Linked DNA regions of Elephas maximus indicus. The protein of the gene in region 4 purifies or fractionates together with the protein of the main gene of each other region. This does not show direct contact. Links are inferred from orthologs where the notes say so. Each region holds a gene or a part of one and is shown on either strand. Other genes may lie near its edges. The genes, in order: WIPF2, ABI1, GIT2 and NCK1.

Region 1 (7,574 bases), on a different chromosome or scaffold from region 4:
TACTATCTTGCCCGATGTGCTCTTCAGCAATTTTTCCCTCTTCAGCATTATACTTGTGAGATCCAGCCAGGTCAATACGTACAACTCTAGTTTGTTTGGTTTTGCTTTTCTGTATTTCCCTTCATTCTTCAACCCAGTGCAATCTTGCTTCTGCCTTCATGGCTTCCTGAAACTGTTCTTGTCAAGGTCGCCAATGACTCCCATGTTACCAAATCTAAGGGACACTTATCTTACTGTTGTTCTCGCTAGCGTTTGATATTTCTGACCATTTTTCCTTCCTCACTCATCACTGCTTTCAGGACACTATGACCCCGGGGTTTCCCTCTGCCCTCTCCTTCTCAGTCTCCCTTGCTAGCCTCCTCCCTCAGCCTGGTCCTTGCATGTGGCATTCATTGGGCTTGACCCTAAACCTTCTTCACGTTTCTTTATAAATCTTGCCTTTGATTTTATCCTTATACTTCTGTTTTGGAACCTATTGCTGTATAAGTAACTTTAAACTCAGTAACTTAAAACAACAACCATTTCATAATTTCTCAAGATTCTCCGAGTTGACTGGGACTGAGCTGGACAGTTTTGCTGATCTCACTTGGGGTCTCTTATGTGGCCGCAGGTAAGAGGAGGGGAAGTTGAAGTGTTCAGGATGGCTCCCTCATATGTCTGGTGGTCTGGTGGGAACAGCAGAAACGCTGGGACAGGTGGCTCTCTCTCTCTCCATGTAGTCTCAAAGCCTCTCCCTCCAGGTGGTCTCTGCAGCAGAGTAGCCAATTTCTTACATGGGAGCCTACCCGAACCCACTGCCGTCACATCAATTCTGGCTCATAGCAACCCTACAGGACAGAGTAGGACTGCCCCTTGGGGTTTCCAAGGCTGTCATCTTTACGGAAGCAGACTGCCACATTTTTCCTTCCAAGAGTGGCTGGTGGATTTGAACTGCTGACCTTTGTTTAGCAGTTGAATGCTTAACCACTGCGCCACCAGGGCTCCTCATGGGAGCCTGTTGTTGTTGTTGTTAGGTGCCGTCAAGTCGGTTCTGACTCATAGCGACCCCATGCACAACAGAACGAAACACTGCCCAGTCCTGAGCCATCCTTACAATCGTTGTTATGCTTGAGCTCATTGTTGCAGCCACTGTGTCAATCCATGGGAGCCTAGGGGTCCCAAAAACACAAATGGAAGGTTCCAGGTTTTCTTAAGGCCTAGGTCTGGACCTGGTACAGCATCATTTCTGTTTCTTTCCATAGGTTAAATGGAGTCACAGGCCAGCCAAATTAATGAAGACCAGGAGCCCTGGTTTGTTAGGGGCCATCTTTGGAGACTACCATAGGTTGTGATTTCCAAATCTCTAGACTCAAACATACCATGGAATACTGGACCTCACTTCTTGGATGTCCCACCAGGCTCCTCAGGCTCCTTAACCAGTCCAGCCCCTCCTTTTCTTCTTTGACACTCTCCAGCTAAGCGTTAGCCTCATCTCCACACTAGAGTTTAAGATAGAAACTTAGGGATAATCTTTGGCTTCTCCTTCTTTTCAGTCCCCACGTTCCACCCCTTAAATATGTCTAGAATTACTTCTCTCCATCCCCACTGCTGACACCCTAATAATGATCACAGCTAATATTAGTGAGTACTTTCCATGTGTGTAAACACTTGTGATGCGTTCCATTTAATCTTATCTAAATTTTGCAGATGGGGATCTTGAGGCCAGTGGAAGTTGAATAACTTGCTCAAGGTCTCACCGTTTTCAGCAGCACAGAGAACTGAGACTCCAGGTAGCCCTGCCTCTGAAGCCTTTGTGTTCCGCCAGTGACCAGCTGCCACTCAGTTCAGGCACCTGTCATCTCTCACCTGGACTGCTACACCAGCTTTCCAACTGGTTTCATCTTTCCAACCTTGTCTCATCTAAACTGTCTCCCAGGCTGCAATCAGAGAGATCTTTCTAGAATGCAAAGTGAGTTGTAGCATTTCTCTGCTTAAGCCTTTCAACAATTTCTTCTCACAGACAAGATAAACTCTAAGCTTTTCAATAGACAATAAAGTCCTTTACAATTTGCCATTGTCAACTTGATAGTGTGGCAAGGGACAGTGGTTCTCCACAGTGGCACTTTGGAAATTTGTGGAGCTCTTTTTGTTTATTACAATGGTTAGGATGTGCTACTTGCATTTGGTGGGCAAGGGTCAAAGATGCTAGAGAACGCAATGCAAGGGATGGTTCCATGCAACCAAGAATTATCCTGGGTTCCACAAGACTTTTGAATGTCCTGCTCAATATTCTATGTGAAAAAGTCTATTTATAATTACCTTAGCCTAGACTCTATCTCCATTAACCCTACACCCAAGGGAGGAGGGGGCTGTTGAAGAGATTCTATGGTGTTTCCTTTTTCCATGAGACACTGACAAAAGCTCAGGTTCACCTAGTTAGGCAAGTGCCCTCAGAGCAAAAGCCTGCTTCAGTGTTCCACTTACTCTCTGCCTTCAATTACTTTGTTTTGCCTTGAAAATTGCTTACCTTTTTAGCAGCTTGTCAATGTATTTAAGATTTTTTAAATGTCTTATCCAGGATTCTTAGTTGTTTTTAGGGGGAAGCTCTTCCAAGTATCTGGCTTGTCATATAACCAAAAAAGGAAACTACAAACACAAAATATTTTGTGCATGTAATTTGCATATAACCTGTCTTTTCCAGGAATGTGACCACTTTGTAAATTGTTTTGTATTGTTTAGAACTTTACCAAGAGTTGTTCAGCATTTTGGAAAATCACAACACCAATGCCAACAATGCCCACCACAACACTGTTGGATCGATCTGCATTTGTACCTGTTGCAGTCTTCATAATTCTAAGCATGACTGCAAGCATCTGACTATCTCCCTATATCTTCTATGGTGGGCAGGGAATGCCCTCTGAGGAAGGGACATTTGAGTGAGGCCTCAAAAAATGAGGATGGGGCAAAGAATAGCCAGTATATAGGTCCTGAGGTAGGAACCGCTTGGTACATTGCAGTGTTAGAAAGCAGGTGTGCATAGTGTGTAGTGAGTGAGGAGGGTACAGGGAGGAGAGGAGGCTGAAGAGCTAGGAGGCTCTGGTAAGGAGTTTAGATCTACCATCCCTCTGGCCTAATCACAACACCTTTAGGAATGTAAGACTAAAAAACTACATACCTGAAAATCTTTACCTTTGCCCCCACTGATTCCTATGCCTGCAATGTGCTCCCTGTCTTCTCTGATTAGTAATAAAATTCTACTCATCCTTTAAGGTCAAGTTCAAAACCATTTATGAAATCTTATCCCATTCTTTAGCAAGAATTAATCACTCCATTGTCTGATGCCCCACAGCATGTATGTCCCCATGGCACTAATCACATGCTGACTTATATCTCTGCTAGCTGTTTACATGTCAGTCTGCCTACCACACAGTGAGTTCCTGGAGGCAGAGGCTCTGTCTTAGTCACCCCAGTAGGCATCTCTTGGTGCCTAGGACAGTGTCTGACCCACAGCAGATACTCAATGAATGCAATGAAGGTTGTGACATTTACTTGACTAAGTGGGTAGTTCTGTTGTGCACAGGCTCGCTATGAGTCAGAACTGACTCAACGGCACCTAACAACAACAACAACAACAACTAGTGGGTAGTGGCAGAACACAAGGAAAACAAAAATAATAACTGACGGTTTATCACTTGTGCTTCCCTATTCATTATCTGATTGGAGGCTTCCAACAATACTATGAGGGAGACGGGGTAGGCACTATTACCTCCGTGTTACAGTTAGGGTAGCTAAAGCCCAAGGCCACACAGCTAGCAAGCAGTGGGACCTAAATCCCAATCTTGTCCTCTTACTTCGGATTTGGTGCTAGGAAGGATGATGGAGAGACCCAAAGGAGAGCATTTTGAGGATATAAGACAATGAGGTTGGTTGCACTGGGTGGTCTAGGGGGAGATTCTCAGTCAACAGCATCCCTGCCAGGGAGGGCGTAGCACTTCTCCCCTGACCCATGCAACATCACCCCCCATTCCTGAACGCCGCGGAACCCTTGGGTTAGGTGGTTAAGATGACGTAAACGATGACCTGTTAGCAGGACCTGCCCCTGTTGCCATGACAACCGGAGTTTAACTATTGGGCCCTTACAAGGTTGGCTGAGACAGGTTCTTCGTTACCTCGGGATTAGGGAGGAGGTGTGGAGGAGTGCGGTGGAATAAAGACGTATAAAATGTATAATCATGAAAGACTCCAGCTCAGTGGTTCTCCACCTTTGCAACACGTTACAATTACCTGCAGAATTTTAAATGTTCCAATGCCTAACCCACAGCCCAGAACAACAAATCAGAATCTCCGGGGGTGGAACTAGGCATCAGTGTTTGGTTAGTTTTCCAGGTGATGGTGATTCCAATTGCAGCTAAAGCTGGAAATCCTCCTTTCAGTTAGCAAACGGAATTTCTGTGACCTTCTCAAGATGGGGGCCGATCAGACCGCTTCCGCCTTTACGTGAGCCGACAGGGGCGGGCCTTCCAGAAGCGCATGCGTGTAGCCTCTCTTCGCTCCCTGCTCCCCTCCTCCTTTTTTCCCCCGCCTCCATTTTGTTCGCAGACGCTGGGGACAGTGGGAGCAGATCCATTTCCGGGTTGGAAAAGGGGCGGCGGCGGCTAGAAAGGGAGCTTGCCGGGGGGCGAGCGGGACGGGACCAAGCCGGAGCGGAGGTGGCGGAGGATTCGCTCTCGGAGCAACTGCGGCCAGGTTAGGAAGAGGCCGGGGCGGCTGGGTCCGTCGCTGCGGTGACCTGCGGACCTAAGGGCTAGGAAGAGCTGGGGAGTGGGGATTGGGGCGGGGCTTGAGGAGAGAGGGGCGCGTTGGAGGAGGGGCCTGAAGGGGATAGGGGCCTGGGGGCGGGGCCTGAGGGAAGGGGCCTGGGGCTGGGTCTGAAGAACCCGGAGGAGAGGGGGCGTGTGGAATCTAAGTAGGGAGGAGTGGTCCGGAATTGGTGTGGGGCGAGCGCAGACTGAAAATGAAGAGGAAGGCTGCTGAGAGACAGGAAATAAGGGATCCTGAAGGGTTGGGTAAGGCGAGTAAGACGGGAACTCAGGGTGCGGAACGAGGTAACCGTGCGCTAAAAGGGAGACGGGGAGGGAGGACCTGTTGGGAACAGGTAATTAGCAGGATGCTCTGGGTGAGGAGGCCAGTTGTGACTTTTCGGGGGTTGAGCCGGGTGAAAACCTGTGGTTGGGAGGATGACTCGGGAAACTGCTTACGCTAGAGGGACTCTTAAGAGCGTTCGTTGAGAAAGAATCAGAATTGAGTTAAAGGTTGGATGGAGAGCTGTTGAGATGCGCACGGGAGCATCTAAAATTAAGGGTTCATGTTGGAGTGAGGGGAAGTGACAAGTGAAGTGAGGGAAGATGGAAAATCTGAAAGTGTTGAATGTGGGCAGTGTGTGTGGTTGGGCTGCTGATCAGGAAGAAACATTCTTAAAGAATAACATTGGGGTAAGGACCCGGAAGAAGCTGATATGTGCAGGAATTCATAATTTTAAGGGGATTTGAATGATCTTACTGCTTTGGCCTCCCCCAGGGCCCATCCCCCTCTTTTCTTGCTGTAATTTTTGTCTTACAGTTTTGGTTTCTGAACGACTTACTGAATGTTTTTGGAGACTTTTTTTTTTTTTTTTTTTAACTCCTTTACAAATCAGAAGAGGATCCCAGGGAATAAGGACTGTCCTAGCCTACCTCCTGATTTACTGAGTAACTCTTTGGCAAATCATTAAGTGCCTCGTTTTTTCTCCCCCTTTGAAATATAGGTCTCTTCCCTCCCTGCCTCTAAAAGATTCTGTTAACCAAGTGAGAATCTTTAAAGTGGTTGCAAAAAAAAGTGATTTCCAAACACAAAGTTGAGATACTGATATTTAGGAGACATATCCTCAGTTTCTTCCTCAGCATACGCTGCATTTTTATGTGCCTGGGAAGAGTTGGTTTTTAAATTCTCCTTTCTTAATGTTAACTTTTATCAGTCAAAATTTTATATTATTGTGTTGCATTGTGTTGGCTGCCATCAAAATGGAGATAGGGAGTTTAGAGTTGGCATGAATGAGGTCGGTTGGTGGGGACTGTGGGAGAATGCAGTGTTTTATTTTCTAGTTGCCACAGTATTTTACTCCTGACGAACACTGAATTTCTTCATGAGTCTATGAGAGATCAAGGATAAATAGTATTTTAGACAGTTGAGCTTTTTGCTTTGGTCCAATCACTTTGGCATAGCTGCCTGTTGGTGGGACCAGTGGGGTTGTTACTCCTTTGAAATCCTGACTGTTCTAGTTTTATTTCTTTGGGTATAAAGCTCTAAAAACTTTGCCTATAGGTGAACTTGTTTAGCTTAGAAGATGTGTTCCTGGAAGTGTTGGCATTTCTGAAGTTTGATGTGGATTTGCTTAAGAGGGGGCAGATTCTAGTTTTGCCTCCCTTGATACAGAGTAGTGTTTATTCTAGTTGCTACTGATTAGTTATGTGATGTCAGGGCAAAGGTGAAATGCAGGGGAGGGTGGAAGGTATTGTGAACAATAGGGTTCTCAGATTTTATTAATGGCGTTGAAGAATGGAAGAGAGAAGTCCTTGTTCCTAATGAGGAGAAAATTGTCACTTGTTCTTTCTTGACTCTTTGGGCTGTCTGATGATGAGAGTGACCTGGTGTACTTGAGTCTGTTTTCCTGTTGATCTAAAGTAATTCTGAAATTCATGGACTGCTGGTTCAGGCTGCTTCAGCAAACCATAGTCTTTATACCAACCCCAGGATGAGCTGTAGACAATAAGTATACATATTTATTTGGAGTAAAAATCTGCTAGATATTATACTGTCATTTCACCCTACAGTGTATCTTTTCAATTTGTAATTAAGAGGGCTTTGAGATAAGTTATGGAGGCTCAGAGCTCTGGGCAAGCTTTTGGTATAGCCTGCTTGTTTAACATAATGTTTTTCTATTTTTCCTACCGTCTCACGTTTTTCCATTGAACCACTTCTAAGTGGAAAATAGCAAATTACACATTTTTTCCCCACTTTTTTAGTCTCTGGTGGACATCTTGTCTGTGTCACAGTTTGACACCACCAAATGAAAGAATCCTTGACTGCTCCAAATGGAGAGCGTGACAGAAGCTGAGCTGAGTTTCCTGGGCCAGGGAATGGACTCTTGTCAAAGCAAAGAATAGTTGCGGAGACACACAACTGGGCCCTTGAAGCTGTGACTAACATTTTGGCAACATGCATCCCTTTGCCAAATAACTTCTTTTCTTCTTGAGTGTGACTGTTAATCTTCTTGAAGTAGGCTGTTGTTGCTACTATGCTTCACACAACTCCCGAGCAGAAGTTGGCAGGGTTGCAGTTAACTGTCTCTTGAGGGATGTTCCCCTGATTAGAGTAGGTGGGGCGTTCTGTGTCAAAATGAGGTGTTCTGCAAGGAAATAGAGGCAGTACTCTTTACTGAATGTTCTTGCAATTCTTTATAGTTCTTCTAAATTCAGAGTTTGTTTCTTAATCATCTGGTAATCAGTGTCTTTGACTGCACAGTTTGAATGTCCAGGGCATTGAGGAAGAGAGACTTA
Region 2 (7,254 bases), on a different chromosome or scaffold from region 4:
CTGTGTGAGAATTTCATCTCCCCCACCCGTCACCCCCAGTTCAGTGGTAGAATTCCCCCATTCCATGAGCGAGACCTGGGTCTGATTCTGGCCACAGCACCTCATGCCCAGCTATCATCCATCTGTCAGTGGTGGACTGCACGCTGGTATGATGCTGGACAGGTTTCATCAGAGCCTCCAGACCGACAGGGACCACCAAGAAGAAAGGTCAGGTGACATACTTCTAAAAATCAGTCAATGGAAACCCTATGAATCGCAACGGTCCCACCCATAACCAATCATGGGGATGACACAGGCCTGAACCGCATTCATTCTGTTGTGCGTGGGGTCACCATGAGTGGGAGGCTGAGTCAACAGCAGGTAAGGACGAGATCAGAATACCTCACTGGAGGCAAGTTTAAAAAACAAACCCACTCTCATCTAGTTGATTCCGACTCATGGCAACCCCCATATGTTACAACTGAGTTTCACAGGGTTTTCTTGAGTGTAAATGCAAGGTCACCAGGCCTTTCTTCCACAGCACTACTGGATGGGTTTGAACTGCCAACCTTTTGGTTAGTGGTCAAATGCAATCTGTATGCACCCCCCAGGGACCTGAAGTCAAGTTTAGGACCACCAAAAAAAAAAAACCTTGAGGCCACTGGCGATGACTCGATACCATGGTACTAATATTTTAGAAAGTGAAAGACTATGAGAAATAACATGACATCTTAATTAGGGAAATTACCAATGAAGTTTAAAAGTACTTCAAAATTACACGACGGTGGTATGAGGGAGAAGGAAAAGGGGTCAGAGAGAAAAAAGAAAATTAAGAAACACCTTTACAGCATACAACCATCTGAAAAAGAAATAGCCAACAGACAGGTTAAAACATGTTTGCAGTTACCAACTGTTGCCAACGTGTAGCAGTTACCACACCATATACTTGTCAGATTTCCCAACATGCAAAACAAAAAGGAATCTCCCCTTTATGAAGTACTTATCTACTGACTTCTGTTAAGAAATGGCTTTTCTGGGATGGGGGCAATTTAACTTTCTAAGCTGTCTGAGTTTCAAAATCTTCAAGATCTTCAGCAAATAAGGTTCGCCTCAATTTTAAAGCTTTTCATGCTGGGTTGAATAAAAATTGCATATTTTTAATACTGACTAACTACAAAACCACTTTTCTATTTGTAAACTATATCCACATTTCTACTAGAGTTTAAAGTGATTTTTTTAAACGCTAAATACAGTTTGAAAAAACAAGTAGTAATACAGTAGATGTGGCAGGCATTCAACAACTTTACTTATCAGTAAAATTCCTAAGTAAATGCTTGAAAAAATTTGTGAAGATAAAGTCCTAGTAATGCTACTGAAGAGACAATGTTACTAATAAAAAAACTTAGAAATAATTAAAATATTTTGAAAACAGCACCTCTGCCTATAAAGTAAGAGGAAATGCATTTGCCAATACAGAAGTCATTGGTTCTTAAAAATGATAATCACATCGAAGGCATTTCTAAAAATACTTCAGTTCTGAATTGCAATACCTCTAACCTTTCAAAGCACGTTCTGTCATGCCTTACCAATAACAAGCAATTTTTGGGTGTCATTATACTGATACAAAAGTCTGCTACTTCATTTGCTTCTACAGCAAACTGTTGGTTTACACAGTTAATGAACCGCAAAGCAAACTACTACACATATAATTCACTTTCAAGCATTAAAATAAAAACAAGCTTATATCACAGATAAGGGCCCAAGAATTTTCCAATAAATTTGCAATAACAGCTATTTTACGTTCTGGTTCAAAGGTTCGGTAATCTATTTGGATTCATATTCTACACGTGCACATAGGTTGGAAACAGGGAAACTTCAGAAAACGGCGGTTACACCATTCTAAGTTACTTGTGAAGCCAAGGGTTCAAGAACTTTAGGCGGAAGAGAGAGTAAGATATTTTTCCAAGTAGTTAAGAATAATTTACGTTTTATAATAACGATACTCCTTAACAACCTCTAGACTACATTGCAGTGGAGCGGAAGTGAAAATGATGAGACCGAAAAACCCGACTTGAAAACGGACAGGCAGGCAGATTTACAAACCGTCAATTAAAGGAATTTTAAGATTAAGTTCTCTCAAAGGCCCTCCCTTACTCCACACCCGCTTCTCCTCTCCTTAGGGAGGTCTGTGTAATGTGACTCATGACAAATTTTTTTAAAAAATAAATAAGTAAACGACACACCCTCTGGGTTGAACTGACATAACTGCCCCCACCCCACCCTCCCCGAAGCACACCCCGCTTTTCCTGTCCCTTCTGCTGCTTCTCCCTTAGCCTCTTCCCTGCCCTTTCCTCTCCCTTCTCCCGGTTCCAGACCCCCCCTCCCCGGCGGAGAGGCAGCGGGGCAGCAGCTGGGTCCCCGGGACAGAAGCACGGAGAAGGGAGGGCTGCCGAAGGGCAGCGAGACTCGTGGGGTCGAGCCTGCGGGGAGGCGGGCGTCAGGGGGCCGCCCGGCTGCGGTGGCGGCGGGCTCCCGGGTCCCTCGCCCATTTTCTCTCTCCCCTTCTATCGGTTTCAACCACCAGAGCCACTTCCTGTATCACAGCCCGACTCACTCAACCCTGCCACTTGCTCTCTGGCGGCTGGGCTTGGGGTTGGGGTTGGAGCTGAGGCAGAGGCTGAGGTTAGGCAGTTCCCCACCCCGCCCAGGGGGCTGGTCACTCCGGCGGCCGGCGGCGCGTCCTCGGCCCGGGCAGCGTCTGCCCGCCCGCCCGCGCTCCTCACCTGTATGTAGTTGTTCTCACAGTAGTCCGCCACCCGGGTCAGGTTCTGGTAACTCTCTATCAGCGCCCTCTTGCCAGACGGGATCTCCTCCTCTAGTAACATCTGCAGCTCTGCCATTTTCCACCCCTCCGCATCGCTTCCTCTCGCGTTAAAGAGACAGCGGCAGCGAGGTCCGCGGAGGCTCCGAGCACCTCACAGCCCGGATACAAACCGCCTACCGCCCTCCCGCCTGGTATTGTGGGACGGTACCTCCTCCTCTTCCTCCTCGCTCTCTCCACCCCCTTCTACCCACTTCGCGCAGCCGCCTTAACCTCGTTCTCTCGCGATCGTTCCTAACTCCTAGAGAGAGGGATTTTTTTTTTTTTTTGCACGGTCTTCTGGGAATTGTAGTCTCTGATAGGCTAGACTTCTCATCTGAAGCGCAGGCGTCGGGGAGGAGTGTAACTAGGGAATCTTGACCAGAGGCGGTGATTTTAGGTCTGGAATTTCCTGACAGCTCCGGTAGATGGCGCAATAGGGTGATGCTGGAGAAGAAAACCGTCCCACCTCCCCCAAGGCTGTGGAGCTACAGAGCTTTAGCAACCGAATGTGGATAAATAAGAGCCATGGATTCCGGTTAGTATTAAAAAGGGATAAAACCAAAACCTAACCCGTTACCATCAAGTAGATTCCATCTCATAGCGACCCTATAGGACAGAGTAGAACTGCCCTATAGGGTTTCCAAGGAGCTGTTGGTGGATTCACACTATGATCTTTTCGCCTGCAGCCTTAACGCTTAGATACTGCACCACCAGGGCTCCTTAAAAATGGATAGAATATGGAAAACTCCAAATATTTATAGGTAATCCTCGACTTAAGATGTATTTGAGTTACAATGAACAGCACTTATCACCACCTTTTTTTTTTTTTGTACGTCTTATCATTAGTAAAAAGCTGCTATTCCTAAGGTTTTCACTGGCTAATGCTTTTCAGAAGTAGACTGCCGGGTCTTTCTTCCTAGTCTTAGTGTGGAAGCTCAGCTGAAACCTGTCCTCCATGGGTGACCCTGCTGGTACCTGAATACCGGTGGCATAGCTTCCAGCATCACAGGAACACTCAAGTCCCCACAGTAGGACAAGCGGACAGACGTGGAAAATTGGAAATCTTTAAAACAGAAATGGAATGGCTAAACATCAATATCCTAGGCATTAGTGAGTTGAAATGGACTGGTATTGGCCATTTTGAATCGGACAATCATATACTCTACTATGCTGGGAATGACAGCTTGACGAGGAATGGTGTTGCATTCATTGTCAAAAGAAACGTTTCAAGATCCTGAAGCACAGCGCTGTCAGTGATAGGATAATATCCATACGCCTACAAGGAAGACCAGTTAATGCGACTATTATTCAAATTTACGCACCAACCACTAGGGTCAAAGATGAAGAAACAAAAGATTTTTATCAGCTGCTACAGTCTGAAATTGATTGAACATGCAATCAAGATGCATTGATTATTACTGGCGATTGGAATACGAAAGTTGGAAACAAAGAAGAAGGATCAGTAGTTGGAAAATATGGCCTTAGTGACAGAAACAATGCCGGAGATTGAATAATAGAATTTTGCAAGACCAACAAATTCTTCATTGCATATACCTTCTTTCACCAACATAAACAGCGACTATACACATGGACCTCACCAGATGGAGTACACAGGAATCAAATTGACTACATCTGTGGAAAGAGATGATGGAAAAGCTCAATATCATCAGTCAGAACAAGGCCAGGGGCCAACTGTGGAACAGATTATCAACTGCTCATATGCAAGTTCAAGCTGAAACTGAAGAAAATCAGAGCAAGTCCACGAGAGCCAAAATATGACATTATGTACATCCCACCTGAATTTAGAGACCATCTCAAGAATAGATTTGATGAACTGAACACTAGTGACTGAAGACCAGACAAGTTGTGGAATGACATCAAGGACATACATGAAGAAAGCAAGAGGTCACTGAAAAGACAGGAAAGAAAGAAAAGACCAAGATGGATGTCAGAGGAGATTCTGAAACTTGCTCTCGAACGTCGACCAGCTAAAGCAAAAGGAAGAATCGATGAAGTAAAAGAACTGAACAGAAGATTTCAAAGCAAGTCTTGAGAAGACAAAGTAAAGTATTATGATGACATGTGCAAAGAGCTGGAGATGGAAAACCAAAAGGAGAGAACACACTCGGCGTTTCTCAAGCTGAAAGAACTGAAGGAAAAATTCAAGCCTCGAGTTGCAATACTGAAGGATTCTATGGGGAAAATATTAAACAATGCAGGAAGGATCAAAAGAAGATGGAAGGAATACACAGAGTCATTATACCAAAAAGAATTAGTTGATGTTCAACTACTTCAAGAGGTGGCATATGATCAGGAACCAATGATACTGAAGGAAGAAGTCCAAGCTGCTCTGAAGGCATCGGCGAAAAACAAGGCTCCAGGAATTGAGGGAATATCAACTGAGATGTTTCAACAAACGGTTCTAGCTCTGGAGGTGCTCACTCATCTGTGCCAAGAAATATGGAAGGCAGCTTCCTGGCCAACTGACTGGAAGAGATCCATATTTATGCCTATTCCCAAGAAAGGTGATCCAACCGAATGTCAAAATTATAGAACCTCAAAAACAAAACATGCATGGTTTTTAATGCTGTCCCGTCCTAATTTCTTTTCTCTGACTCCTTTGCATGTCTCACCCTACTGTTTTTGTTTCTGTAGGTTGTGTAAAATCATTTTTTTTTTTTCCTGATTATCAGCTGCTTTGGAAGAGTTTCAAAAAGCCCTATATTTTAACCTTTTAGTTTCACTGAAAATATGAAATGCTTCTGGTATAATGGGTTATGAAAAGTGTTGTCCAAAGGCCAAAAAGGAAGTTAACTTAAAGATTGTTTGAAAATCCATTTTCATAGCTCTCCACGTAGCCATTTAGAATCACAAGGATAGAAATGGTAACACCACACAATCAAATAAAAAGATCAATCCGTCAAAAGTATTTATTGAATATTACCTCTACTTGTTGATGTTGGGTGCCATTGAATCGATTCCAACTCATGGTGACCCTGTGTGACAGAGAACTGCCCCACAGAGTTTTCTTGGCTGTAATCTTTAGGGGTGCAAATCGCCAGGTCTTTCTCCCACGGAGACGTTGGGCAGGTTCAAATCATGAACCTTTCAGTTAGCTGCTGAGTGCTTAACCATTGCACAGCCAGGGCTCCTTATTACTTATACTAGGGGCCATAACATATTCAACCTTCCCAAGGAGGAACTTAAGTCTGCTACATAAAAGAAATAACTGCCCCTAGCCACTACCATTATATTAAACTGAGAAAAACACCATAGTCCCTGTCAAGGATTCTAAGGTCCATCAATCAATGAATGGGTTACTTTTACTAATTGTCTGGAATAGGCACAACGGTCTTGCTTCAAGTTTTATCATTAATCCAATTACATTCAACAGGATTTAATTCAAGTAGTGGAAATGTGTTATATTCTTGATCTTGGTCTCTACGTGAGCCTGCATATATCCATATATTTATACATTTCAACAACATTGGGGGAATGATTAAGGAGATGATACTGAATTACTATTACTCAAAGTACTATCAGACTTGTTTAATGCTCACAACAACTCTGAGAGATAAACAAGGTAAATATTATTTTATTTCTTTACCAGGTAAGGAAACTTAAGCTTAGAGATTTAGCTAAGGGCACTGAAAATAGAAATAGTAAGCAGCAGTCAAGAAATCAAATGATGTATTGCATTGGGCAAATCTGCTGCAAAAGACTTCTTTAAAGTGTTAAAAAGCAAAAATGTCACTTCGAGAACGAATGTCATGGATTGAATTATGTCCCCCAAAAAATGTGTGTATCAACTTGGTTAGGCCATGATTCCCAGTATTGTGTGGTTGTCCTCCGGTTTGTGATTATAACCTTAGGTTGAGAGGATTAGGGTGGGATTGTAACACCACCTTTACTCAGTCACCTCCCTGATCCAAGGTAAAGAGAGTTCCCCTGGGGTGTGGCCTGCACCACCTTTTATCTCTCAAGAGATAAAAGGAAAGGGAAGCATCAGAGAGCTGGGGACTTTATACTACCAAGAAAGCAGCACCAGGAGCAGATCATGTCCTTTGGACCCGGGATCCCTGTGCCTGAGAAGCTCCTCAACCATGGGATGATTGAGGACAAGGACCTTCCTCCAGAGCCAAAAAAGAGACAAACCTTCCCCTGGAGCTGACACCCTGAATTTGGACTTGTAACCTACTAGACTGTGAGAGAATAAATTACTCTTTGCTAAAGCCATCCACTTGTGGTATTTCAGTTATACCAACACTAGATAACTAAGACAACTAAGGTGTAACTAAGCCTAGCCATAGTATTTTCAATGACCTTATATGCATGCAAAAACTGGACAATGAATAAGGAAGACGGAAGATGAACTGATGCCTTTGAATTATAATGTTGGCAAAGAATATTGA
Region 3 (7,144 bases), on a different chromosome or scaffold from region 4:
TCAGTAATGTTAACTGTTACGTCTTTTATAAATAATTTTCTAAGCACCATTCAGATATTTCAACAGCCCGCTGAAATTTGTGATCCTGAAAAAAAATTTTTTGATTGGAAAAACTTAAAACATCAAATGTTTCAAGTAAATACTATATTATCATAGTGAAAATTTCAGCGGATTTTTCAGGTAATCGAACTCAGTGTGATTTAGTTAAAATAAACTGCGCTCATTAAACAAGCAAACTAAGAAGAAATAATCATGGTTAAATATTTGCCATGAAACAAAATAATTCAATGAAGTATAACTGTCTCAGTACTACTATACCATTCTAAAAAGCAAACACTGTAAACATCAAGATAAAGGATCCCTAAAATGCTACACAGCGACGGGTTTTTTTCTGCACGAAGGGAAAAAAAAGACTGCCTTGAAGCATTTTTTTTTTTTTTTTTTGAAGCATAGCTTTGATTTTCACCTAGCATCCAGAGAATTCACAGTATTCTTTCAGGGGAAATGGAACAGGACTAAGACAGCAAGGATTTAACAATTAGGCAAGGTTCTCAATTAACCATTTTAACATCACATATCAGAATTCCATGGATAGAGTAACTAGAATGTTACAGCCGAGTAAAATCAAACCGAGTTTGTACAAATAAGGTTGGGTAAAACCCTTCCTGTTTATGTGGATGTTTTGTGTCGGGGTTTCTTAACCTGGGCTCCACGGACACCACAAATGAGCTTCAGGAGTGTCTGTGGTCCCACTGAGAAAATGCGCATGAAATTGTGTGTGAAAGTACATACATGTGCATTTTTTGGGGAGAGGGCCTTAGCATTCATCAGATTCACAAAGGAGTCTCTAACCCTAAAGGTAACCCTTTCACTAGGGTTTTGCAGAAAAGGCAGAACAAATTCCTAGCTGCACAAGTTCACGGAACATTTCAAGGTAGCCTAATTATACTCAAAACAGGAAGGAAGTGACTCAAGTCTCTGTAGATAGGTACATAAGACAACTAAAATGATATGATGAAAGAGAAAATGTTCTGAAATGCATAAAATGATGCAGAAATGCAAGGTAGTATTTAGGGTGACAACGAAGAAGTAACTTTCCTTTGCCCTAAGCCATCCACTGAGAAGTAAAGAATACTCATTCTAAGAGGAAGTTTGAAGCTAGACACATGTGAATCAAACATGACGCAGAAAGTTCAACTGAAAACAGGCAAGAAAAAGAAGGAAGTGGAAACATTTTTAGAGACTAGGATTAATTTCGTATAACCACCCTGGCTGGTTTATAAAACACCTCTTTTTTAAACTCCTCCACCCCTTTCCCTATTTTCAAAGGAAACTGGCAACCCTGACGGCTCTATAAACCAAAAATCAAACCCAGTGCAGTCAAGTAGATTCCCACTCATAGCAACCCTATAGGACAGAGTAGAACTGCCCCACAGAGTTTCCAAGGAGCGCCTGGGGGATTCGAACTGCTGACCCTTTGGTTAGCAGCCGTAGCACTCAACCACTACGCCACCAGGGCTCTATACAGACTATGAGAAAAACCACTTCAGGTTTGAGATATCATGTTGTTCTTGTTAGTTGCCGTCCAGTTGACTGCAAGTTATCACAGGACTCAGCCTCAACCTCCAAATGACAAGATGAAGTTCAGAACAGTTGCCACAACACTGGCATTCAATGATTTCATTAAGGTTGTTTACTGGACGATATTGTGCCAAGGAAGCCATCTTACTTTTGAGTTACTTCAAACTCAAAGCAGATAAACCGAAGCACTGAAAACAAAACACAATCTAGCCACAGAGACCTGTCAGCTCAGCTCCAAATGCTAAGATGGAGCTGAACTCTGTACCTGAAACTTGCACATGGCAGAAATGATTTATGCCCATATTGCTGAATGCTCAAATGTGAATACTGCCCGTGATTTTGCGCCTGTTAGTTTTTGGTAAGTTGTAATTCATGCATGATTTAGAAATGCAAATCTAACTTTAAAGGACGTCAAGAGTTATCTGTACTAAACACAATACAAAAAAGAAGGAAAAAAAAAAAAAACTTGAGATGATGAGAAGGCTCATTAAATCTAATCACCGAGCCAAATACTCCCGACTATATCCATTGGAAAAATGAGGAAATCAAGGCTTGGTCACATGAAGTCACAAACCCAAGGTCACCCAGACCTAGTCTGAACCCAGGCGATTCAGATCTAAAAACTTGAGACATGCTCTGCCTTCTAAGTGCTGGTTGTTTCTGCAAGACCGCGACGTCCTGCAGGTTCTTCCCCGTGGAGTGGGAGACGAGATGCCAGAAGCCTGGAAGCAATCTGCCCTCCGGAGGGTCTCGGTGAGGGAAACCGCGAGTGTCGCCCATCTCGGGCAAGGCCCTCTGCGGGGCGGGGGTCCGGATGGCTGGTGTGTGTGGGGGTGACACCTGCAGCCTCTGGGGGCCGCAGCCCGGAGGATGCTCGCATTCTACTTCTGTAATTGGTCTTCCTGTAGATTGCCCAAGCCCCTTCCTGTTGGGGGAGCAGCCCTGGACCTCGCCGCCTCCCCGGCCGGCTGGGACGGAGGAGAAGGGGGAGAAGGAAAGACCGGAGGGCGGCGGCCCCCTCCCCGCCCGGCTCTGACAGGCCCGGGACGGGCCCCGCCCCAAGGCTGCCGCCTCGGGCTCTCCCTCGCCGCGACCCCAGCCGCGGGGCGCGGGGCGCGGGGCGCGCAGCTCGGCCGTCGGGACTCGCCCGACCTCAGTGGGCTGCCTCGGGGCAGGGGTCCGGGCCAGGAGAGCCGAAGAGAGCGGGCCCCAGCGGTGAGACTCACCCGGCCCGCTGCAGTCAGCGCACACCTCGCTGCTCCGGAGCCGCTTCGACATGGCTCTCGCCTCCCACCCGCGGGGAACTAGGGGCCCCCGGACAGCGAAGGCGGCGGCGGTGCTTCCGCTCTAACGGGTCCCCGCGGCAGCGCTGGCGGCAGCGCCTCTCCCCTCAGCGCCTCGGAGCCCGGCGCAACACGCACGCGCGGGGAGGTGGCCTTCGCCGACGGACAGGTCACGTGACCGGAAAGGGCACACTGTTTTGTCGCCATCTTGAATGAGGGCAGGTGTCTGTTTCCCCAGCCTCTGCCCTGCTTTTAAATCTTGAATTTGGGTGCTTCTATTTGAGTCGCGGGAACCCTGGTGGTGTAGTGGTTGGGAGCTACGGCTGCTACCCAAAAGGCTGGCAGTTCAACTCCACCAGGCGTTCCGTGGAATCTCTATGGGGCAGTCCTACTCTGCTCTATAGGGTCGCTATGAGTGGAAATCGACTCTATGGCAACGGGTTTGTTTTTTTTTTTTCCCCCGCCTCTGGGTTGCGGAAAGAGCCTTGGGGGCGCAGTGGCTAAAGCGATAAAACTGCTAACCGAAAGGTCGGGTGTTGGAAACCACCAGCGGCTTCGCGAGAAAAATGTGGCAGTCTGCAGTCCGCTTCCCTAGAAGATTTATAGCTTTAGAAACCGTATGGGGTCAATGTGAGTCTAAATCGACTCCACGGCCGTGGGTATTTTAGTGGTCTCTGAGATGCTACAGGGTCGCTATGAGTCTGGATCCACACGAGGGCAATGAATGAGTTGTTTTTTTTTTTTCCTACACGAGATACTCCTCCTCCCAGTACTGATTAATTCCAGGGGAAGCTGTAAAACCTAGTGACCATAGAGAGCTCTGCAGCCACAACTTTCCTGAGGCAATCAGTGGTCAAGTCACTTAGTGCAACTTTGGCCAAGTTAGTTCATTCATTCATTCAACAAATACTGAGTGTCTGCTGTGTGCCGTGCACTATCCAATGGAGCTTCCCAGGAGCTCTGGTGGGCAGTGGTTAAAGCGCCAAGCTGCTGACCAAAAAGGTCCGCGGTCGGAAACCATCAGCTGCTCACCGGGAGACAGGACAGCCTGCTTCCTTAAAGATTTACAGCCTTGGAAACCCTATGGGGCAGCTCTACTCTGATTTACTGTTATTATTGGTATCACTATTATTTTCAAATCACGACTTTTCTTCCTATACTTGAAATTTGAGAGTAAGAATATATAACCCAGAGTAATTTAAAGGCTAACCAAAAACGAAACCCGCTGCCCTCAAGCCTATTTCGACGCATAGCGACGCTGTAGACAGAGTAGAACTGCCCCATAGGGTTTCCAAGGGGCACTTGGTGGATTCAGACTGCTGGCCTTTATGATTAAGCAGCCGTAGCTCTCAACCACTACGCCACCAGGATTTCCAATTTATAGAACAGTGTGAGATAAACACAGTGAGGTTAATCAGTGTGAAGAACAAATGTGATCCTAATGCCGAAGGCCACCTCCCCACTAATGAATATTTATTGTATGTGTTACATGTAAACAGAATTATAATCTCCATTTAGCAAATATTGGATGCCAATTATGGGTTAGGGGGAAACCCTGGTGGCGTAGTGGTTAAGTGCTACGGCTGCTAACCAAAGGGTCGCCAGTTCGAATCTGCCAGGTGCTCCTTGGAAACTCTATGGGGCAGTTCTACCCTGTCCTAAAGGGTCGCTATGAGTCGGAATCGACTCGATGGCACTGGGTTTGGTTTTGGTTATTATGGGTCAGGAAACCCTGGTGGCATAGTGGTTGAGAGTTACCACTGCTAACCAAAAGGTCAGTAGTTCGAATCTACCAGGTGCTCTTTGGAAACCCTATGTATGGGGCAGTTCTACTCCATCCTATAGGGTCACTATGAGTTGAAATCAACTGGATGGCAACGGGTTTGGTTTTGGTATTATGGGTCAGGAACTGTTTTGGCTTTAGGTACTCCCGTAAACGAGACAGATGTGAAGTTTTCAGACTAATGTGACAGGAGGGATGTTCAGGAAGCATGGGGCAATAGAGAGAAAGATTAAGTTGCACAAGGGTTCTGAAAGAATGAAGAGGCCTTAGAAGCACTGGTCCTTGGTCCATCTCTCCGGCTTGATAAATGTGTGGTGTGGGAATAGCCACGTAGTTCCCACGCACGCAGCACTTACAGTCTATGAGTACTAACCTGATGCTCCTGCGTGCTGTTTTGGTTCCCCAACTCACAAATCTGGGCTCAACACGTGTGGAGAATGGATTAGGCTAGGATTCTTGAACAGCTGTTGTTGCAGGCATCTGAGAAGCTGGCTGTACACAAGCAGAGAAGGCCCAGGAGATGCTTTCAGGATGAATTGAATAACTTTGCCCAGCTATGTGGTCGAGTTGTAGACAGCTGAGCAGAAGTGGCAGCAGGAAGCGCACAATGGTGGCTATAAACTGACTTGATTCTTCATTGAGGCAAAGAGGTACAGTATCTGAAGTTGAAACTCAAAGGATGAACTTCATATTTGCAGACTGTGGTCAAGTCTGGGTATTATATATCAGTCTTTTCAGTCATAATCCAAAATCCAAATGGCTAGCTTCAAAAATAAATGACACATGTGGGATAAACCATTATCATAGGTAGCTTTGAATCATAACCCAGTTCAGAGTTCAGATAGAACAGTGGCTCTCAACTGGAGACCATTTTTGTCCCCCAGGGGACATCTGACTTTATCTGGAGACATTTTTTGGAGGGTCGATATGAGTCGGAATTGACTGGACGACAGTGGGTTTGGTTTTTTTTTTTTTTTTGACTGGCATTCAGTGCGTAGAGGCCAAGGATGCTGTTCAACCTCCTACAAAGCACCCGACAGCCCCCACAACAAGTTATCCGGTCCAAAATGTGCGGAGGTTGAGAAAACTCTGTGATATAACTATCTCCTTATTATGCAAATATTTAACGCCACTCCTCCAGGGTTTATAATTCCTCCTCTAAAATTGTTTGCTTTTGCCCACTTCCAAAATGGATTCTGACCAATCATGGAAGCATCTGCCCTGGTCCAAAAAGGCTGCAAGGAAGTCGGTAGCCGGAATGGTTTAGCCCAGGCCTGTTGTCGCCCCCTGACCGCAGGGCCAATGGAAGAGGCCCGGTTGTGGACCGAACCATCTGCGATACATAAGGCAGGGGGAAAGAGGTTGGTGATGGGTAGACCAAGTTTTCCACGTCAATACTCTGAAACGAAAGAGGTACTCTTAACACTGTTTTAGATATCACACTATGATCCTGGTGTGGAATTGGAGATTGGTGAAGTTGGGCGAACTCCGGATCGACCGCTTTGCCTCGCCCTTCCCCGCCCCCGCGTGCGGTGGTTCGCTCCCCGCACTTCCCTGTTTGGGACAGTTCGGTCCGCAGAAGTCGGTTCGGGAGCTGTCAGCGCGGGCGGGAGCGTCGCGGGGCGCGGGGTGGGCTCGGCCGACCCGGTCCCCGACCCGGCCCGCGACCCCCGACCTCCCGCGCACCACGCAGTCGGCCCGCTAGGCCACCCGGCCGTGTCCCTCGCCTGCTCGCTCGGCTTGTCCTCTCGCTCGACGGCCGCTGGCGGGCGCCGGAGACCCCGCCGGGGCTGAGGCTTCTGGCGAGCGGGTGGCGAGGGCCCGGCTGCGGCCTCCTCGCCATGTCCTCGGCCCGCGACGCCAGCGGCCACTTCCCCCTGCATCTCCTGGTCTGGAAGAACGACTACCGGCAGCTGGAGAAGGAGCTGCGGGACCAGGTGAGGGGCGGGGCGGGGCGGGGCGGGGCGGGAGTCCGCCCCTGGTTAGGGGGAGTCGAGGCTCGCTAACCTCCCTGAGCCCATTTCCAAGCCCCTGCCCTCGGGGTCCCTTGGACCCCTTCAACTCTGCAATCGTGGGACGGCAATAATAGTAACAACAGGACGTGTATTGAGTGCTTACTGGTGCCAAGCTCTGTGTCAAGGGCTTTATATACATTATTTCTTCTAACCTTTCCAACATCCCTAGGAGGTGGGTATTATTATTCCATTTGACAGAGAAGGAAACTGAGGCTCTCAGAGGTTATGGGCCTTGTGCAAGGTCGCCCAACTAATAAATTTGCCAAGTCGAGATTTTAACTCAGGCTGGCTGGCCCCAGAGAGCGCCGTCTTTACCATTAGGCGCTACTGCCCCTCTCCAAGACTTACACTTTAGACTCTACTGTCCTCTCTGAAAGACAACACACACACCCCTCACCTCACCTCATGCACCCTTGTTGCCTTGCTGTAAGGAAGGTCTTTGTTAAGGTTTGGAGTTCGGGTTCTAACTTGCTCTGTGTGAC
Region 4 (7,130 bases):
TACATACATACAATGGAATACTATGCAACCATAAAGAATAATGAGTCCGTGAAACACAATGTGGATGCATCTGGAGGACATTATGCTAAATGAAATAAGACAGTCACAAAAAAAGACAAATATTATATGGTCTCGCTATTATAAAAAGTCAAGAACAGATAAACACACAAAAAGCAAAGCTCTTTAATGGTTAACAGGGATGGGAGGGAGAGGGAAAGGGAATCACTTTCTAGACAATAGACACTTGCTACTTTTGGTGAGAGGAAAGACAATCCCAAACATGGGTGAAGTCTACCCAACTTGACCAAGGTAAATAAATAAGAAGTACATGAGCAAAAGGGACAATTTTAGTAAACGTTATATACAATTTTGCAACAACAGTGAACAAAGCAAAAAAATACACGTGTGGTTACGTAGGTAGCTGTTTTAGTCATCTAGTGTGTTGTAACAGAAATAACACAAGTGGATGGCTTTAACAAAGAGTTTATTTTCTCACTGTAAAGTAGGCTAAAAGTCCAAATTCAGAGTGTCAGCTCCAGGACATTTTCTCTCTCTGTCGGCCTTCTCATCAATCTTCCCCTGAGAAGGTGCTTCTCAGCGCAGGGACCCCAGGTCTAAAAGATGTGCTCTTCTCCCGGCACTGCTTTCTTGGTGGTATAAGGTCCCCCTGTCTCTCTGCTCCCTTCTTTCTTTTATATCTCAAGAGATTGCCTCAAGATACAATCCAATCTTCAGATTGAGTCCTGCCTCACTAACACAACTGCTGCCCATCCTTCCTCATTAACATCACAGAGGCAGGATTTACATCATACGGGAAAATCACACAACACCAGGAATCAAGGCCTAGCCAAACTGATACACACATTTTTGGGGGGACATAATTCAATCCATGACAGCAGCTATAGATGCATTATGTGTTTAGGAAAGCATACTCAAGTAAATGTACGTGCAGGTACAGGTGTATCTGTAGGCATAGGTATATACACGTTTGTGTGTGCTGCATATATAAAAAATATATAGCCACATATATATCCACATATGAAACAAACCAGGAGCCCTGGTGGCACAGTGGTTAAGAGCTCAGGCTGCTAACCAAAAGGATGACAGTTCAAATCTATCAGCCACTCCTTGGAAACCCTATTGGGCTGTTCTACTCTGTCCTATAGGGTCACTTTGAGTCGGCATCAACTGACGGCAATGGAGTTCTTTTGGTTTTTCTAAAAACAAACCACATGGGGGCACGGTTACAAAGGCGTCAAAGGGCTTAGGGCCATACTCTTGGGGGACAATTTAGTCAACTGGCGTAACATAGTTCACAGAGATGACGTTAGTATCTGGGATCTTAAAAGCTTTTTAGTAGCCATCGAAGACACAACTATGGGTCTCTAAAACCCTTTGAACTTGGAACTGAAGCTTTTTCTGCAGGTCACCTTTCAGCCAAATAACAGGTTGGCTTATAAAATAAACAGTATGACACATGAGTAATGTGCTCCCTTAAACAATTAACTATATGAGACCAAACGGTCAACTTTTAACCAAAAGCAAAGATGAGTAGGCAAGTAGAGGAAGGGAAGCTAGATCAAAGGAAACAGAACAAACAATGGAATACTTAGGATGCTGACACATTGTAAAAACTATAACCAATGGCAGGGAACAATTTGTATAAAAATTGTTAAAGGGGAACCTAATTTGTTCCGCAAAATTTCACCTAAAACACAGTATTTAAAAAAAAAGAAGGAATTGAACTATTTATTGCGCTACTATCAATTTGTGAAACACTCCTAGTTTAAAACTGCATACTATTTACAATTACAAGACGGAAAAAAAATTCTTCTTGGATTATTTCCCCATTTATTTCACCTCACTGAAGGTTGTGATTTTAAGCACAGTGCTTTTCAGATGTCTGATAAATCGTTAACGATGGGTTTTTCATAATCTATCAACATAACGTTTAAAAGAGAGTATCTCTTGCAACACGCGTTTAGACCAGACAGTAAGCGTCTTTTGTGCCCCACCCCCAACCTCCGCAATCATGGGGTTAGAAAATTCTCAAGCTCAATTATTTCCTTCCTAACTCCTATGGCTTCTCACCTAAAATAACGGGTAGAATGAATTAAGGTGACTTCAGTACGTCAGCTCGACTTTGGGCGCCTATGTTATGGTTCTCAGCTCCCAAACAAAACCCCGCTTCCAGAGCTTCTAACGCCGAATTCAACTTTTATGGAAACAAATAAAAGGCTACACAACCAAGCTATCAAGATAATTTTTTTAGCGGATATATTACAACTGAAGTCAAAAGCTTAAAGCCCAAGCAATCGCATACGAAACCTAAAACAGGTTCATGCGATTTTTTTTTTATCCACGTTTCCCGAGAAAGACGACGACCGGGGGGGTGGGGGAGGGGGTTGCAGAGGGCGCGTCCAGAAGATGTCCACCCTCAGCCCTGGGCACGGCTCCCTGTCCTTCCCTTCTCCGCCGTGTCCCTGTCTTCCCCGCGTCGGTTACGCACACAACGGGCAACAAGATTTTTTCAGAAGAAAAATAAGACACGGAAGGGAGCGCGCCGCACACCGACCTCAAAGCCTCGCAGGCGCTCACCCCGGCGCGACGCCCCGGAGGCGGGCAGCGAGGCCGCGGGGCCGCGGGGCCCGACGGTGGCGCGGAGTCGGGTGCAAACGCCCCGGCCGGGCCTAGCTGCCTCCCCGCCCCCTCCGGCTCTGCCCGCTCCGGGCCGGCAGACGGCGCCCCCGGAGGTAACTTCACTGGGGAAGAGGAAGCGACGCAGTGAGTAACCAGCTACGTGGACCGACAGGGGAAATGAAACTGTGTACGTGTCCACCTGCCGGCAAGGCTGCCTCACCTTTCCTCTGCCGGCCCGGGCGGCTCCGGCTCACCTGACGATCGCAGCTGGACGACACGGCGGCCGCCGCGATGGCCGTTACGGCACGAGGCCTGCGCTCCTCCGCGGGTCGGTCTCGGAGAGGGGCGGGGCGGGGCGCGCGGCCGGCGGGCGGGCGGCCGGCGGGCGGGCGAGGCGGGGCGCTGACTGGCCCCGAGGCGATGGGCGTTGTGCGCGGGCGAAAGAAGGCCCTCTCGGCCCAATCTGATAGGCTCAGTCCCCTTCCCTCCCTCCCCTGCCTCGGTAGCAATCGGTGCGGCGCTGGGATTGGGCAGACTCCCCTATCAATCAGGCGCTGTCCCGGCAGCGGAGTGAGCTGAGGCTGAGAGGCGGGGAAGAGCAGACGTTACGAATCCTATTTTCAAACTCTTTTTCTGCACGCCGAACTTCTCGAATGACGACTTTAAGTCTCCCTCCTCAGCGCCGCAGGTACGACCCCACAGCAAATATGACGGCTTCCCGAGTTTAGACCAAAGCGACAAAAAAACAAAAAGGCCAGGAAACGAGGACCTGGGAGAAAAATGTAAGCCACATGCTTACGTTTGAGCCATAGACCGGGTCTTGGGGCCTTCCAAGTGCCCTGGTGCGCAGGCTGCTTCCAGTCTCGGCTGCAGTAGCCGTGCTATGAAGGCAGTGACCTGAGTGAGCTGCCATTCTTAGCGGCCCTGCCCCAGCCATCTGCTGGGTGGTTAATAAATTAGCTCTTCCCCACGCCGGCACTGCAAAACTCCATAGCCTGCCTTCCCTTCCTAACTGTCTATGTGGCTTAGTTTACTTTCCCTCCTTGGGGAAACCTGCAGGGCTAGGTACCTTTCTCCGAACACAGGTACTTTCCCCATCAGAACTGTTGAAATAGTTTGCCCGTATCCTTACCTAAGCTGTAAGCTCCATTAGGTCAGGAACCATGTCAGTGTTTGTTCCGATTTCACCCAGTGCCTAGCATGTGATAGATGGGCAATACATAATTAAAGCATTAATACATCTTCTCCCTCCTCCTTTAATCCTGGCCTTGACTATAAATCCTGAGTCCACAGTAATTATCAGTATTTAACCGTTCAACTTCAAAATGATTCCTGTGAGCGCTGATGGATGCATGTGGTTTGCCTGCCATATGTAGGATCACAGGATCAAGCACAAATCACCTATGACCCCTTCCTGGCTTCAAGTTGGCTGAGGCAAGAAGACCATGTAACTCAGCAACAGCTACACTATGTCTACATCCCATTATTAGCATCCAAAATGAAGAAAGCAAGTAAATTTTGGATTCATTCTAAGGGTCTAAATAACTTTGCGTATTTTATCCTGGCTTTCTTTTTGTTTTTTAGTTTATTTACTGTGCTTTAGATGAAAGTTTACAAATCAAGTCAGTCTCTCATACAAAAAGTTACACACACCTCACCAGTATCATTGTCTGTCTTATAGTCCAGTCCAACCCCTGTCTGTAGAGTTGGCTTTGGGAATGGTTCCAACCTTGGGCTAACAAAGGGTCCGGGGACCCTGACAGGGTCCCTCTAGTCTCAGTCAGGCCATTAAGCCTGGTCTTTTTATGAGAATTTGAGATCTGCATCCCACTGTTCGCTTGCTCCATCAGGGATTCTCTGTTGTGTGCCCTGCCAGGGCAGTCATCGGTGGTAGCCGGGCACCATCTAGTTCTTCCATTCTCAGGTTGATGGAGTCTCTGGTTTATGTGGCCCTTTCTGTCTCTTGGTCTCATCTTTACCACATGTTTTTGGTGTTCTTCATTCTCCTTTGCTCCAAGTAGGTTGAGACCAATTGATGTATCTTAGATGGCCGCTTGCTAGCATTTAAGACTCCAGATGCCTCTCACCAAAGTGGGATGCAGAAAGTTTTCTTCACACATTTTGTTATATCATGGCTTTCTTATTGGTTGATACATCTTACAAAGTCTGTAGGTTGAGATATTATATTCATTTTTGCAGCTGGAGATATGATTTGTCCAGAGCTTAACATGATTTATCCATAACCACACAGTGAACTGTTGGCAGACCAGACTCAACTCAATTCTTGTTACATATTTAACACGTGATGCAGAAAGAGGTGTGAATAAAAATAAAAAATAAAAAAATACTAAGGTAAAATATAGTCCTTGCCTTCAAGTGGCTTATACTACCTGAAGTGGGGAAGATAATTCTAGAAAATTATGCTGAAGTCATAAAATTGGATTTTATTTTGTAAGGCAATCTGTATTTTGAATGGGCCAGTAATGTCTTCACAAGATTTTGATCCAGATCTCTCGACTTCTACTGCTCTTTACCACCTATTCAAGCAATATAAGAAGCAATTGCAAGGAAGAGAGACCTTAAAACTGCTTTTTCACAAAAGGGTTTCAGTTCCCTGTGAACATGTTTTTTTTCTTTTAATGTTCCTTCTTTAATCTCCCTCATTACTCATTCTTCCCAGGAACTCTCAAAAAAAAAAAAAAACTCAAGATACATATGGAAAAGAGGAATCAAAAAGGAAAAATAAGGAAACATCAATAAAAGAAGAAAGCATAGGATGGAAGGGTAGATAGAAAAATTATGTGTGAAATTCCAGTATGGCATACTTAAAAGGAATGGAGTCCAAATTCTCATAGGGTGGGAATTGCCCCAGAGACTTTCTTTCACACATTCTGTCTCTTCAATTTCTAAACATAAATATGTACATGGGGGCTTCTTCCTCTTTTACAGTGGAACTCAAAACCAAAAGTAAAAATCATCCTTGCTGATCAGTACTGAGTGGACCAGGGACTAGCCAGAATCAGGCAACAACAAAATTTAGGTCAAGACAAATGACCTACACACTGGAGGTGAAGTTTGGGATTTGGGTAGCTAACCTGTTTCTGGGAATAAAAACATGCAGGCAACTCACTTCATTAATTCCCAAAAGGATTTGGGAAGACAAGAAATGGAAAAATGAGCCTCTACGTCTCAAGGCCTTCCCCAGGAAAGTATTTATAATTTATACTTAGAAGTGACTATAGAGAATAATCTGGTTTAATATCACTGTCAGGCAGGAATGTTTAGAACAAAAAAGCCCTAACTCTAATCAAGAGGTAACTAATTAATCATAGGGTCAACTATAAAGTATCCAAATTAGTCAGTGGACCCTGGTAACTAAACCTAATTTCTGGATTGAGTATTATTAGACTTTTATGGGAATTCATTCAACAAAGATTTATCGAGGGTCCACTTTGGTAAGCACTACAATAGGTTTTAGAGATCTAAAGATCTGTCCCTATCTTCAAGGAGCTCAATCCAATTTTGGAAAATGAGATTCAAACTGGTATTTATCATTAATATAATAAAGACAATAGATATAGACAGGGATGTTAAACCAGAGGGAGACGGAAGTTGTGTGGTTAGGCTAGTCCATCAATTAATCTAGGGAAAAAAGAGAAGGGCTTTCCAGGTAGAGAGGCCTGCATGGGGGGAAAAAAAAAAGCCACTAAACAGTAGTAGATTATTGCTGGAGCAGAGTGACTAGGCATGCAAGCAATAGCCAGGTCCTGGAAAACCATGGGTGACAAATTAAAGACTTTATCCTGTAGGCAACGAGAAACAAAAGGTTTTCTTTCAGCATATAAAGCAAGTACTTTGTCATTCTGTTGTTTTCTGGCTTCCATTATTTCCGATGTGAAGTAGCTGTAATTTTTATCATTGTTTCTCAATATCTCAAATCTTTTTCTCTGGCTGCTCTGAGGATTTTTTTCTTTATCTCTGTTTATCAGAAGTTAAACTATGATATTTCTAGGTATGGTTTTCTTTGTACCTATCCTGCTTGGGGCTCACTGAGTTCCCTGGATCTGTGGTTGCTTTTTTTTTTTTTTTTTTAATCAAATTTGAAAAGTACTGGCCAGTAGTTCTTCAAAAAATTTTTCCGCCTCATTCTCTCTCTTTCTTTTTCTAGGACTACAGTTACACTTATGCTGGACCTCTTAATATTTAGTACAGGTTTATTCAGGCTCTGTTTTTGTTTTTTAACTTTTTTTTTCTTTCTCTGATACAATTTGGATAATTTCTATTGAAAGCCAGTGTCCTGTAATCCCTGAAAAAAAAAATTTTTTTATTGTGCTTTCAGTAAGAGTTTACAAATCAAGTCAGTCTTTCATACAAAAATTTATATACGCCTTGCTACGTATGCATTGTAAAATAACATACTCCTAGTTGCTCTCTCTGTAATGAGACAGCATGCTCCTTCTCTCTGCCCTGCATCCCTGAAAAATTTTGAA

Evidence for each region.
Region 1: the proteins of NCK1 (region 4) and WIPF2 purify together in Homo sapiens (co-immunoprecipitation; 3 studies listed by BioGRID and IntAct, with this or other methods). This does not show direct contact. The link is inferred for Elephas maximus indicus from reciprocal best matches to the Homo sapiens genes NCK1 and WIPF2.
Region 2: the proteins of NCK1 (region 4) and ABI1 purify together in Homo sapiens (co-immunoprecipitation; 4 studies listed by BioGRID and IntAct, with this or other methods). This does not show direct contact. The link is inferred for Elephas maximus indicus from reciprocal best matches to the Homo sapiens genes NCK1 and ABI1.
Region 3: the proteins of NCK1 (region 4) and GIT2 purify together in Homo sapiens (co-immunoprecipitation; 3 studies listed by BioGRID and IntAct, with this or other methods). This does not show direct contact. The link is inferred for Elephas maximus indicus from reciprocal best matches to the Homo sapiens genes NCK1 and GIT2.

Annotation. Positions count from the first base shown.
Region 1 is NC_064837.1:47,410,883-47,418,456, forward strand, and holds the start of WIPF2 (WAS/WASL-interacting protein family member 2), read left to right. Parts: upstream 1-4,571; 5' UTR 4,572-4,725; intron 4,726-4,947; exon of another isoform or gene 4,948-5,050; intron 5,051-7,574. UniProt on the Homo sapiens protein: Plays an active role in the formation of cell surface protrusions downstream of activated PDGFB receptors. Plays an important role in actin-microspike formation through cooperation with WASL.
Region 2 is NC_064822.1:28,454,798-28,462,051, reverse strand, and holds the start of ABI1 (abl interactor 1), read right to left. Parts: upstream 3,022-7,254; 5' UTR 2,880-3,021; coding exon 2,763-2,879; intron 1-2,762. UniProt on the Homo sapiens protein: May act in negative regulation of cell growth and transformation by interacting with nonreceptor tyrosine kinases ABL1 and/or ABL2. May play a role in regulation of EGF-induced Erk pathway activation. Involved in cytoskeletal reorganization and EGFR signaling.
Region 3 is NC_064840.1:20,517,506-20,524,649, forward strand, and holds the start of GIT2 (ARF GTPase-activating protein GIT2), read right to left. Parts: upstream 3,006-7,144; 5' UTR 2,860-3,005; coding exon 2,808-2,859; intron 1-2,807. Other genes in the region: ANKRD13A (ankyrin repeat domain-containing protein 13A), read left to right, coding at 6,489-6,584. UniProt on the Homo sapiens protein: GTPase-activating protein for ADP ribosylation factor family members, including ARF1.
Region 4 is NC_064844.1:41,558,332-41,565,461, forward strand, and holds the start of NCK1 (cytoplasmic protein NCK1), read right to left. Parts: upstream 3,017-7,130; 5' UTR 2,895-3,016; exon of another isoform or gene 2,576-2,894; intron 1-2,575. UniProt on the Homo sapiens protein: Adapter protein which associates with tyrosine-phosphorylated growth factor receptors, such as KDR and PDGFRB, or their cellular substrates. Maintains low levels of EIF2S1 phosphorylation by promoting its dephosphorylation by PP1.